2 linked regions of the Drosophila melanogaster genome follow. The gene in region 2 interacts genetically with the main gene of each other region. Each region holds a gene or a part of one and is shown on either strand. Other genes may lie near its edges.

Region 1 (7,848 bases), 1.9 Mb from region 2:
TCTGTTTACCAAGAGATCGTTGTTTTATTAGAAATCAATTCGTTTAGGTTTGCAAATTTGACTAGCGATACACAACTACTCTCTACTCTAGATCAGCGGCAAAAGCAAATATGCAAATGTAAATGTTTTTCACACAAAAGTTTACCTTTTGACCAGTCCTTTTTAGGCTGAAAACTAAAATCACATCCACACACAATTTCTGACCAAACACAGAACTGGCAGCAAACTTACCTGTAGCACACGTGAAATGAGAATAGATAATTTTTTCGGAATCTGGATTTAAATCTACAAACATTCGCAGTATAAACTCTCGGGCCGTTATTGCATCTCGCTGAGGACCTGTTTCGATAAGAAGGCGAATATGAAGTTACGTCTAGCGTGGTTCTACGAAAACTAGCAAATAATCTACGGATGATATTGGCGATTTAAGGCAATTACATAGATCTTAAGTACATAAGGTGAAAATCCACCTGTGGCCGTTGTGAAATGCGAATAGCATTGACGTTCGGGATCTGGATTGCAGGCCAAGTACTTTTTCAGAACGAACTGTTTGGCCGCAGCGTGATCCTGTTTTGGACCTGGTTCATTGCCGCATAAAATCGTACATAATTATGGCCACCTTTATCATGCGGAACACTTACCATCGTATTCAGGAAAATAGTCTACCAAATGCGAATACATTATTTTCTCTTCCAACAAGTCCTTCTTATTCAGGAAAAGAATAACTGACGAATTTTGAAACCAAGGGTATGTAATTATAGTACGAAATAAAGCTTTAGATTCCTCCATTCGATTCTGTGAAAGCGTACAGGTGATTATTTGTTTAAAAAAAATATATTCATAACTTGAAATCATACCTCATTATCAGATTCAAACAAGATTTGATCGTACTCCGATAGCGCTACCAAAAATATAATTGATGTCACATTCTCAAAGCAATGAATCCACTTTCTTCTCTCGGATCGCTGACCACCGACGTCTACCATTCTGTTTATTAAGAAAAATATATTATTGTAAGAAAAGTTAACCAACAAATTAACTACATATAAGGCCAAACATACAAGCATTTAATTCTAGAGCGCAAGCAACGAATCTATTAGTAACTAAATTGTAAGAAATCGTCTTCACTAGCTTTACAATGACCATTTACATTACTAGCCTTGCCGGTAATTACCAATTGATATTTTTAATAGATACCTAAACACAATGCCATCCAAATCGAATGGATACTCAAGAATGCCAGTTGTCGGCACTCGAGCACGCAGAATATCCTGCTCGGTTGGCAAGTAATCAGCCTGTTCAATTCGAGCTAGATCGCTCAAGTAGCTAAATTAGATAAATTAATACACTTTTAAAACAATGAACGGAACCAAAAGCAGTGGCAAAAATAGTTTTGCAACCCGTCTCAGTCCATCAATTTCGCTGAAGGCCCTAACTAAGTCCCTGAATTGTTTGCTTGAAGAGACATGCGCTAAAGAAATTCTTAAGTGTGTAGTTACAAAGTACAAAATAAATTTTAACCATAACCAAACAAGAGGTCATGCACATGCAACGAAGTAAGGGTAGAAAGATGGTATGTACCTAAATCTGATTTCTTCTAAATCAAAGGGATACTCAATTATCCCTGTTGTGGGCACACGAACTCTTAAAATGTCTTGCTCAGTGGGTAAATATGCAGGTTGAGCCACACGATCGAGATCCTTCAGATAACTATACATAGACAAGATAATTGATTTAGTTTGCATAGTCGTTTCGGTAGTTTCAGTCTCTTCAGTTCGTTTTTCGGTCATTTTGCGGACGGATTTAAACCGTTCCCTTTGCATGCCAACGGTTAACTTACTATTTGGCTGAATCAGTCAGCTGATATTCCCTACGACGATCATAGCACTCCTGGATGCCAGCATCGTCCCAAAGCGTTTTGATGGCATTCAAGTATGGATCCTCGAACGTGGTAACGGTCTCATAATCGATGCTCATCACCAGATCGGCCAGTTCCTGTGGATCGTAAGATGTTGTTTAAGATTCAGTGACTTCAATTAGATCAATGTTTCACTTACACTATGCTCTCCCTGGCCGTAGGAAATCTTCAGCATATCCATGGCCTTGATCATTGACTGCATGGCCATGAATATGTTCTGAAAAACCAGCTTGATGTACCCACGCTTGTCCTCGTCCGAGTAACCGCTGCCGTGGATAATACGCATCTGTTTGATGAATGTGGACTTCCCGGACTCGCCAGTGCCTGGGGATATAGGATTGGAAAATATATATAGCCATAAGCGGCGGGCAAACAATGCAATTAGCGAGGCGGCTTCAATTGCATTAAGCCAGGCTAAGTGCAATCGAAATGGGCCATGCTCCACTTACCCAGTAGTAGCAGTTTAAGCTCGCGGCGCGCATCTCTCTTGTCCCGGCGCAACTGCTTCTCGATTTCCTGATTGATGCGCTTTTGTTCCTTGGCCTCCTCCGATAAACAGCACTCCATGCTAACTAGATTTATAGACGCTTTCGCGTGCTGCTGCCACTACGCTCGACAGACCGTTCCGTATATAAAATGTATGCTGTTTGGATGGTGGGATGGTCTCCTGGACTCCCTTCTCTGGACCCTCGGACACCTAGCTAATTGGTTGTATGGCGGGCGTTGAATTCACCCGTTCCAAGTTATAGATTCTGTTGTAGTTTCGATTGGTGCATTTGTACTTCGGCTTTGCTCGCTCTGCAGACCTCCTCCAGCGCTTACGATCCAGGCTCTCTTTGGCTATTGCTATTGCTAATTACGGGTCTACGCTAAGTTCTTGACCAGATTTCGGTGACTCGGAGGCTGAGAGTGATGGTTACTAATGAACAAAGACCACATCGAACGATCCAAGAACATCTGCAAGGAGACAAAGCTTTGATTTAGTGCTTGCATAACCGAACTGTAGGATCTATCCAACTATTGCTGCTACGGACCACCACAGTTGTTGGCCCAACGAGAGTTCGCCGCGTTGTGTCCCGTGCTGACAATTAACATTTCATATTTGCTAGCCTGCCCCACTAGCTGGCGACGTCGATGACGACGTCGGATATAGATTGCCCATGGCTACCCATGACTACCCCGGGACTTCCTCTGACCATGGCATTGGCTTTGGTTCTAAGTTCTGGGCCTGCTCTCTCTGCGCAGACCTGGGATCGCCCTCTACCAGGTGGCAATAGATTGAGGAAGCGTTCCCCACAATGCCCCTCAGCCAAGTTCAATGCAAGAAAGCTGATTTTGGAAAATATATGGCTTCGCTGGCCACAAGTTAGCGAGAGTGTTCTCCTATTGGGTGGACCAAGCAGTCTATGGATAAGAAGAATTGGCATATCATTCTAATTCGGAAATAAAAAAGTCACATACCGAAACTTATGATGCAAAAACACAGCTCTATACACAAAACTGGAATATCATTGCATAAACTTTAAAACTCTTAATGTACTTTTATCGTTAAAAGATATGAGTCCACCCGAATCCGCGGTTCATTCATGGGTTCAGCATAGGGCATGCCTATAGAATATAGCCTATAACCACTGGTGCTATTTCCTCTCTTTTCCAACCCCTAGTTTATATATCGAGTGATGGCTAATCCAATTTCGTTTGGCGAACACATTGACATGGGTCGAGGTAAGGCTTTCAGCATGACCACTACCAAATATCGATGGAATACCTAGCAATAATTTTGACAAAAGTCTGACCAGGAGAATTTGGCGGGCTCAGGTGGGCGAATATGGAGATCTGGATAATGATGGCTAGACGCATAGTATTCGGGAGGATTAGTGGGCTGCACTCGGAACACATTGCTCGCTGAGCAAAGCCACAAAATCGAATTAGCAGTGGCAGCAAAATTCAGGGGCAGGGGCACGCAATTGGCGCAATGAAGCGTTTTTTAACAATAGTTTGCCAGATATATCATGCCACCAAATCAGAGGGAGATTTACCTACCGCGAACTGGTCTTATCTGCCTTACATATTGTATATGCTGATGATAAACCACTCTGAGATAACGTTTGATTTGACTTCTTAATCTTTAGACGACTACTGCTCTTCTGAAAATCACTGTTCTAATGCAACCCATTTCCGAAAAACCATTTCTAAGCCGGAAATAGCTTCACGTTACTCATGCAGTTCCTTATCGCATCCTCAGCCTATTTTTGCTGGAGAATTTATGAGCTCATATTTTAGATACAAAAGTACCCTTTCATTATGATGAAAGCATGGCTTTTACACAAAATAAATATATTCGAATGGATTTGAATAAGATGGATGACAATCCATTAAACTCGCCTGGAGAATAATTCGATTTTTGGATTATAATATATTTCGGCCAGTTTTTAGTGGCAACCAACAAGTGGTCGGAGTCAAAAATTAACCACGAAATTACGATTCTTGTATTCAATGAGCATTCAGTATTACTTACTTAACATTACGGAGACACGGGACTAAAGGTATTCAGACGAGATTCTCCAAAAAGATGTTCCGGTTATCGTCTCGATTTGTTTTAGCTACCACTATGTTATACAAAAAATATTGAATTTCGGGTTTTAGTACGCCGATTGAAGTTCTTCCGGATTGATCGTGTTCTTTTAATTTTTGTTTTTGGTTCCCTGCCGATGTTCGGTCTGTTTTAAATATTTTTAGTTTAATCACGCGATTTGCTTTGCGGTGCGTTGGTTGGTCTTACGTTTTTTAGTTAGCTTAAACTAATTTCAAAAGCATTTCGTTTTTAGTTGGTTTGCGGTTTGGAAAACATTTGTTTTTAAGGAACGTGTGTAGTTGGTTATATATTTTTTACTGGTGCTTTTTAATATAAAAGTTACGATAACGTCTGTTCGGCTTCCTTTTAATGTAAATGTGTGATACGATACTATTTATATATGTAGATATATATCTATATATAATTTTCCCTTTTTGCTTCTAGTTTTCGGTGTGTATGAGTGCTGTTGTTGTTGTTGTTCTTGGTTTTTAACGTTTCTTCTTGTTGTTGTTGTTTTTAAACACCAGTCTGTAAATGCAACGAAGTTTCAACAAATATTCATTGTAGTGTAATTGAAACGGAAAAGTATGTACGACGACAACGACGACGACGAGCGGTCTTCAAATTGATTTCACACGAAACACTTAGTGGCTCCTTTTGTATTTAATTTTCTGCATATTTTATGCTTCTTGTATTTGTTTATTTTTCTGTATGCAGTGGAACTGCAAGTAAAGAAGAGAGACAGAGAGATAAGGAGAAGAACGATGGGGGGGGGGGGTGGTATTATGGGTGGTAAGGTGGGAATATGCATTCCGGAAAATCATCATCATACTGGCTAAGGTAAACACACACGACCCTCAGCTACCATTTTTTTTTTCATTTTTTGGTTAGCCCACCCGTTTTAAGCCCAAAAATATGCACAATCCACTATGTAGTTACGCGACCCCAACTAACTTCTCGCTGGCATGCACCGTTTAGTGGCAAAAGAAAACCACATTGAGTTAAACAAACTATTTCTTTTTTAAATTTCTCAACTTTTTTCCTATTCGCAGTGTTTTTCTCGGGCAAGCAGTGCGACTTGCTGCGCACTGCTTTACGAACGAATACACACAAATATAAGCGAGGGCGTTAACGAAACGAAAAAATTTTGATAGCAATGCGATTCGAAGATTTCGCGATTCGATTCGCCGTTTGTTTAACAATTATGGGGGGGCCTTGCTTAATGGCCAGCACTGTTTGGCGAAAAAATACACTTTACACTGGCATTTCGGGGAACGTTTTCGGTGCTGCTAAATTTTTTTTTTGTCGAGGGGGGGACTTTTTCGGGTGGCTGCCAGGCGGCTGCGGATGGCGACCGCTGGCTGGCGGGGAGTCCGTTTGACGGGGATCTTGCTCGAAACTCACAACATATTCGATTTGGCATCGCTCGCTACTCACAACATATTTAATTTTGCATTTTTCGCTAACGTTGACGCACGACCCGACTTTCGATAGCAGGAGGCGTTATTTGTCCGAACCTATCGGCCCTATCGTTCGTCGATATCGATGGTCAAACCAATCGGACGGCATTTGAACTAGTGGTGGCAAGATATCGATGATGGAATAGATGCTCTTAAATCAAAGTCTTCATTGTATTACATAAGGAAGGAGTTTTATTTGCCGCATAATAACTAATAGAAGTGGTTTATAACAAATAAAAACGGATTTCCTGGCAGTTCAGCTTAATTTGAAAATATATTACTTTTGGTATTTTTTAGTTGCCACCCCCACCACAACACATGTCGGTGTTGCCATACGGATTTCTATTCATGTGTGTCAATACACATTCTTAGCAATAAGGTTGGCAACGCCTTACATCCTTCAAATAAGGATGGCAACGCCAGACATCCTTAAAAATAAGGATGGCAGTGCGCCATATTCTCATAATTCAGGATGGCAATGCCTGATAGCTTTAGGAAAGACTGAAAATGTTGTGTCCTTTTCACTCTCTAACAACAGGGAATACACTTACCATGCACTTCCATATTCGTTAAGCTGTGACCCGAACCAATGACTATGATCGTAAATTTTAAATAACTAAATATATGTGTGTATAATTACCATTTAGAACATAAAAAATGCGAATATCGTAAAACGCCGGTCAATCGTCAAATTTACAAGCACTTTCTATCTTCGAAATCAGAAGACATTGCCCGCCAAATCAAAAGACTTGTATTATTTAATCTATGTTTTATTGGCTTTCTGTAAATTATTATCATTTGTTCAATATGTTCATGCGATAAATAAGTGTTTAAATTAATTAAATAAAATTAAAATAATAACTTTACAGTGTGTGCACAATTTAAACAATTATTTCGGGTTTCGTGTGATTTACAATCGAGTTAAATAAAATAAAAACATCGAATCGATCGGTTAGTGACTATTGGATTGTGTTCGCGTTATAAAGCTGTAGCTAGTTCGAGTCTCTCAAACGAAAAATTAAAAACCAAAGTACAAATTAAAGATACACGTAATCGCTAAACGTTAATGTTGTTACTTGAAACAATTTCCAAAACTTCGGGGACCACAGAGGAATTACATCTGGCCTTTTTGCATCGCCCCAAAAATACATTCAATTGACTATAAAAAACTCGTACTACATATTTGCAAAATTCACAAAATACAAAAGGTTCAGGCTGGCTATCTCCTCCGACTTTTGATTTGTTTAACAATTACTCTAGCTCTCGAGTGATATGTTTTACATTTGTGGTTTGCCATTAACAAATTACAAATTAGATACGTTTTGTTCGCATTAATTATGAGCACAATAATAGGATTAACAAATAATATATGTATACGTAGGTTTATGCTTTAGGTTTTCTTGAAACTTAGAACTAAAAAATAATGTTTGAAACATTTTCAAAATATTCTCTCTCTCATTCCTCATCTGTGTGTTCGTTCTTCTTTGTGTTAACAATAACAATTTTATGGTTGGAAGCACTGCCCTAACGAACAATCGCTATAAATGGATTGCCAGTTACCGAATACATTTCACAAAACAAGAATTTATTAATTGGACAAAAGCAAAAGCAGCGCTCACAAAGAAAATTTGGCCAAAAGTTTGTATTTGGATTTGGACCTCCGTTCGTAAAGATTTTTATGGTTGATCTGAAGTTGCTGATGGTTCGTTGCTAGCCCAGTTGTTCCCCAGTTTGTCGCTTCAGATGGGACGCGTGAAGTTGGCGGGGAAGAGTCCCTTCTCGTTGGTGCCCTCCTTCTGACCCATCAGCCAGCCTTCCTCCTGTAAATTGGCAATAAAGAACTGAACTCAATATAGACAGGAAGTGCTGAGATCTGCATTTGGCGCGGAGGGGGA
Region 2 (4,592 bases):
TTCCTGGATCCCCTGGTGCAGAATTTGCGATTGGTTCAGAAGCCTGGAAAGCGTGTCCAGATTTCTCCATTTCCCATATCCTACTTGATGTATCAATTTCGATCTGGATTCTATTCCTACGGCGGTTCGCTGACCCATCCGCCCTGTTACCAGGGCACCGAATGGTTCATCTTTCCCGAATCCCTAGCCATTAGCGACTTTCAGCTGCGTCACTTTCGTTTGCTCCTAGGTCCGGATGGGATCTCGCCCATAGCCCGTAACAGCCGACCAGTCCAGCACATGGGCAATCGAGTTGTAAGCCTAAACTGCTTCTGCCCATACGATGCCGCCCAGTTGTCCAGAATGCATGTGGAGCTATGCCAGGCTCAAGCTCAGGAGGAGCACGAAGAGGAACGTATCGAGCAGGAGCAGCAATTGGAACTAGAGCGCGAACTGGAGCGGCAAAGGGAAAGCGACTTGAAAGCTCAGCAGGAGCAAGCAAGCGAGGCGGCCATCGCTGCTTCCGAGGATGAAGGTCAGCTAATTGAGACCATAGATACCACGACCATAATAACTAGTAGCAGCAACACTAGCATATGCATGACTACGCTGATGCGGAAGGATTCGCCTAGGCAACTGGAACAGCCATCTCAGATGCCTATGATGGCTCCCAATCAGGGTAACTTTTGCAATCCTGGCATTGTGATATTCAGCGGTGTCAATGAATCCAAGTCCAAGTGCGGCATCCATCAGGATACACCGGAGGAGCTAATGATCCATAACAGAGGAACGGGAAGAAACATGGGTGTACAGAATGGCTGCAAGGCCGATGCCTTTTGCGGCGTGGGCGATGGCGTCAACATCGGAATTCGCATGGAGCTGGTCGAGTAGCTAATGTGCTATTATCAACCTTTATGTCATCCATAGACACTCCATTTGTGGTCCATGCTGCACGAAGAACCGGTGGGGCTAGATGGTGCACATGAAACACCGGTCAAGGCCAACTGGTGGCCAACCGGAGTTCTCTCTGTGCCCGGAAGTGATTGAATCGCGTGCGTGTGGATTAAACAAGTTGCGTTTATATTTTCTAAAGCATAACCCCCCAATTCCCTTGACTTTTAATCCTTGGAGTAGGCGGGAGGGGTTGGCTTTAGCGGCCTGACTTGGGAAAGGACCCACTTGATTATCCCTGTCACGTCACTGGGAAAACTCAAAGCGAATTTCAGAGCTGAACGGCGGGTTGGTGGGCTGGTGGGCTGGTGCGGCCTTGAAAACTTTCAGCCTTGGCTTGGGCAAGTGACAACAGTCTCGGCTTACAGTTTGCCATTCGGGATGGTTGGCTGCCTGTTTTCCATATGCAATGAAGGCGGCGACATTGTGTCGATAATTTGTGTATATAGCCTGGTTCTCCTGGTTCCGTTTCCGCTCATCCTTATTTCCCCCGTCCAGAATCAGAAGTTGCGCAGCGGCAAAACGCTGTCAGATTGCTGATGAACGACTTGGTGTAGAAGGACCGAGTGCGCGCGTCATCGTCAAGGATTTTGCTGGCAAAAGGACAGGCTTCGCTCCTGTCAAGCCTCTTCAGGCCCAGAAATATCCTGGAGGGGCCCGAACCCAAACCCAAACCCAAACCCAAACGCAGACACCAAAGAGGGGCCGCAATAAGAGGTCTTCAACGGCAGACGGCCCTTATCACAGGCGCTGTGTGGAAATGTTTTTATCTGCTCGACTGCGTGTAATTATCGATTTTTCTGTTGTTTTCCCCCTGCGTGGGGGTGGCTGCCAGACCCTGCCCCCATTACCCACCCCCTTAACTGCTCTTTCATGTTTCAAATTTCCAATGATTTGGCAGCTGTTCAGCGGTCGGCAGCTGCGGGCTTGTTTAATTATTGATAAGAAACCCAATATTGGCCAAAACGAGAACTCAATCCTGCCTTAACGGTTCCAATTGGAAAAGTTTCAATTTAAGGTTTGTTGTCAAACGTAAATATTAGGCATGTGCATAAATACCGAGTTATCAATCAATGGGAATAAACAATTAACTCTTTCCTGGAAGTTGTAAAACTACATATGTATTATTTGGCCACATTCATATGTATGTATAGCCCATATCTATTGTCAATAAGATATGATACACTAAGCTGAAATCCATCAGAAGTTTTTTTGGAACTACTATAAAAGTAACATTGAGTTATTAAATACCTTTTAAATACTTTTAAAAAGTTGATGTGTAATCTTTATAATGTCAAAATCAATGAAGTTTAATGTAAAAATAATAAATTCCAACCAACGGCCTCATTATTTGACAATATGGAACTGATACTGCAAAGTTTTTGATGCGAAAACTCAGGTATTTTGGTTTTAGCTGGAACTAGTACCCCCATTCACCCATTTTGGTCCATCATGGCGGATACTTAATGTGTCAGATAAACTTACTCTTTCTTGAGGTTATTGCGGTTACAGTAGTATCTGCTGCTAATATCTCAGTTGCTGTTTATGATGGTGCTGCTGCAGATCCTGCTGTCACAAGAATATCCTGCTGTTTTCGATGTGTGGGTGAGAGGTACGCCGTGTTGTTGCTCGCACATACACACAAATCGATAATGGCAGCTCCTTTCGCTGAAGGGATAAGGAAAAGGACTCGACTCAGCCTTGGCACTGGACTGACATACGCCGCGATTTCACGTCGATTGATTCGTCGAGTTGTTTACGGTTACCCAATCAACTATTCACACGCCCGCGGACCCACTCGTCTGGCCAGAATTGAACTGACTCCGGCTGCAGTGGCTCAATTATTCAGCAAATGCAACGCACCAACTGTTCTACCTTTTTGCCTCGACACGTCGACACCAAAGGACACACAATTTTCAATTTTTTCTTCGCTCTCAGGCGGCGAATTGACTGGTGCGGCGAAAACGGGCCAGTTTTGTATACGTTTTCATAATTCAACTGTTTCAACCTGGCTGACTGGCTGGCTAACTGACTGACTGGATGACTGGCTGCTGCCCACACAATTTCCCTGCTGCTTTTCCTGCTGCTGAAAATCGATGGGTTTCCGTGCCTGGGGTGTCTGTGTGTGGGCGTAGCTTTCGCGGCGATTTCGGGCGAGCTTTCCATTCATGCGCCGGTCATGCGCACTTCGCACTTCCGCAGCCTTGTGGAGCACTGGCCCAGGGGTTCATTTGAATTTATTCGTGGGCGCGAATTTATTCGTTCACTTTGTGAACCCATGTTCTTATCCTGAAACAATATAGACCAAGGAACTCATAAAAACAGTAAATAAAATTTATAAGAATTGTTTCTTTAAATATTCTAAATATTCCTTCTTGAAACCTTTGGAACTGGCGCATATCGCAACCTTGAGAACTGCAATTAGTTTATTGCACAATAAAAAATCCAAATCAAATCTGGGTTCAAAGATTCTGAGTATAAAGAGTTTAATGACCAACAATTAACAACGATTTTACCACCTACAGTTTACTGTTTCCCGCTAGTAGATCGCGTACCAATCGAACTGCGTACATAGCCGTTCCAGGAGCCGTGGTCACACCGTAGCCGCCGTGGCCGTAGTTGTGGACTACCTTCAGCCGCCTGCCTTCCGGATTCGTGATCAGTTCTGGCTCCACCCGAACGACGGAGCGGTGTGGCCGCAGACCAACACATTCCCGCACGATCTCCGCTTTCCGGAGACTGGGCAGCAAATCGTAGCAACGCTCTCGAATGGCCATGCTATCGTATTTGCACCACTCGGTGTTGTAGCTGTCGAATTGGCGACATCCTCCCAGGGTCACAGTCTCAAATCCGGGAAGAACGTAGGTGTCGTAATCGCCGTAGAAAGCCGTCTTTACCCAGGGAGCACGCACTTTGAGCACTTGACCCCGAATGGGAACCAAGTGCTGGTCCCCACACAACTCCTTGGCTCCCATTCCGGTGCAGTTAAGGAGCAAGTCAATGTTCTGCGGCACTTCGAAAAAGCTGTTCACATGCTGACGGACAACCTCTCCTCCGTTCTCCAGGAATCTACAATATGTTAATATTTACGATTATTTTCAAATTGTTTCTCTTTCATATCATAAAACAGCTACTCACTTTTTAGTGGCATAGGGCAAGAAGAGGCGGCTTTCCGTTAGGCATGTGGTGAAGAAGGATCCGTACTTCCAGCCGCCGTTGCATAGCCTCAGTTCCTCCTCGGTGGCTCTTCGGTAGACGGGCAATAGTTTCTCAATAAAGTGGTTCTAAGGCAGCCAACAACAAAGTTAATCGAATTAAGCCGATGAAGATAAGAATCACTGATTGTCGACTGCCCGGCAACGTACCCGTACGATGGAGGGGGAGGTGCGGGAGTAAATATAGCCGGATAATTGGCACACGCCCGCCAGAGGAGCCTCCTTGGAGCGACGCAGCTCATCCCAGTAGTTGAAGGCATCGGTCATCCATTGTCTACGATGAAAAGAAAAGTCGTTAGATGCACAACAGGTGTGTTTGAATCCCAAACAGATTCTCACTGCGTAATTTTCTGGGTGGGGCCCATAAAGCTGGTTCCAGGTCGGAAAATTCCAGCCGCCACATAGCTGACGGTGTCCTCGTTAAACCGATCCGCAATCACGGAAACC

Evidence for each region. A genetic interaction does not mean that the proteins touch.
Region 1: of Rab3 (region 2) and Galphaq, changing one suppresses a phenotype caused by changing the other (phenotypic suppression), as found in Drosophila melanogaster (one study listed by BioGRID).

Annotation. Positions count from the first base shown.
Region 1 is NT_033778.4:12,610,934-12,618,781, reverse strand, and holds the start of Galphaq (G protein alpha subunit q), read right to left. Parts: upstream 6,043-7,848; 5' UTR 5,936-6,042; coding exon of another isoform or gene 5,931-5,935; exon of another isoform or gene 5,903-5,930; coding exon of another isoform or gene 5,898-5,902; intron 5,216-5,897; coding exon of another isoform or gene 5,125-5,215; exon of another isoform or gene 4,437-5,124; intron 2,996-4,436; exon of another isoform or gene 2,953-2,995; intron 2,876-2,952; 5' UTR 2,486-2,875; coding exon 2,368-2,485; intron 2,243-2,367; coding exon 2,058-2,242; intron 1,996-2,057; coding exon 1,841-1,995; intron 1,711-1,840; coding exon 1,582-1,710; intron 1,327-1,581; coding exon 1,198-1,326; intron 988-1,197; coding exon 858-987; intron 796-857; coding exon 642-795; intron 579-641; coding exon of another isoform or gene 471-578; intron 340-470; coding exon 232-339; intron 2-231; coding exon 1-1. Other genes in the region: CG45086 (uncharacterized protein), read right to left, coding at 5,125-5,215, 5,931-5,935; Amph (amphiphysin), read right to left, coding at 7,693-7,773.
Region 2 is NT_033778.4:10,726,190-10,730,781, forward strand, and holds the start of Rab3 (Rab3), read right to left. Parts: upstream 3,015-4,592; 5' UTR 2,416-3,014; intron 1,084-2,415; exon of another isoform or gene 871-1,083; coding exon of another isoform or gene 1-870. Other genes in the region: CAH13 (carbonic anhydrase 13), read left to right, coding at 1-870; Daao1 (D-amino acid oxidase 1), read right to left, coding at 3,450-3,999, 4,069-4,214, 4,296-4,419, 4,485-4,592. UniProt on the Drosophila melanogaster protein: Involved in exocytosis by regulating a late step in synaptic vesicle fusion. Could play a role in neurotransmitter release by regulating membrane flow in the nerve terminal.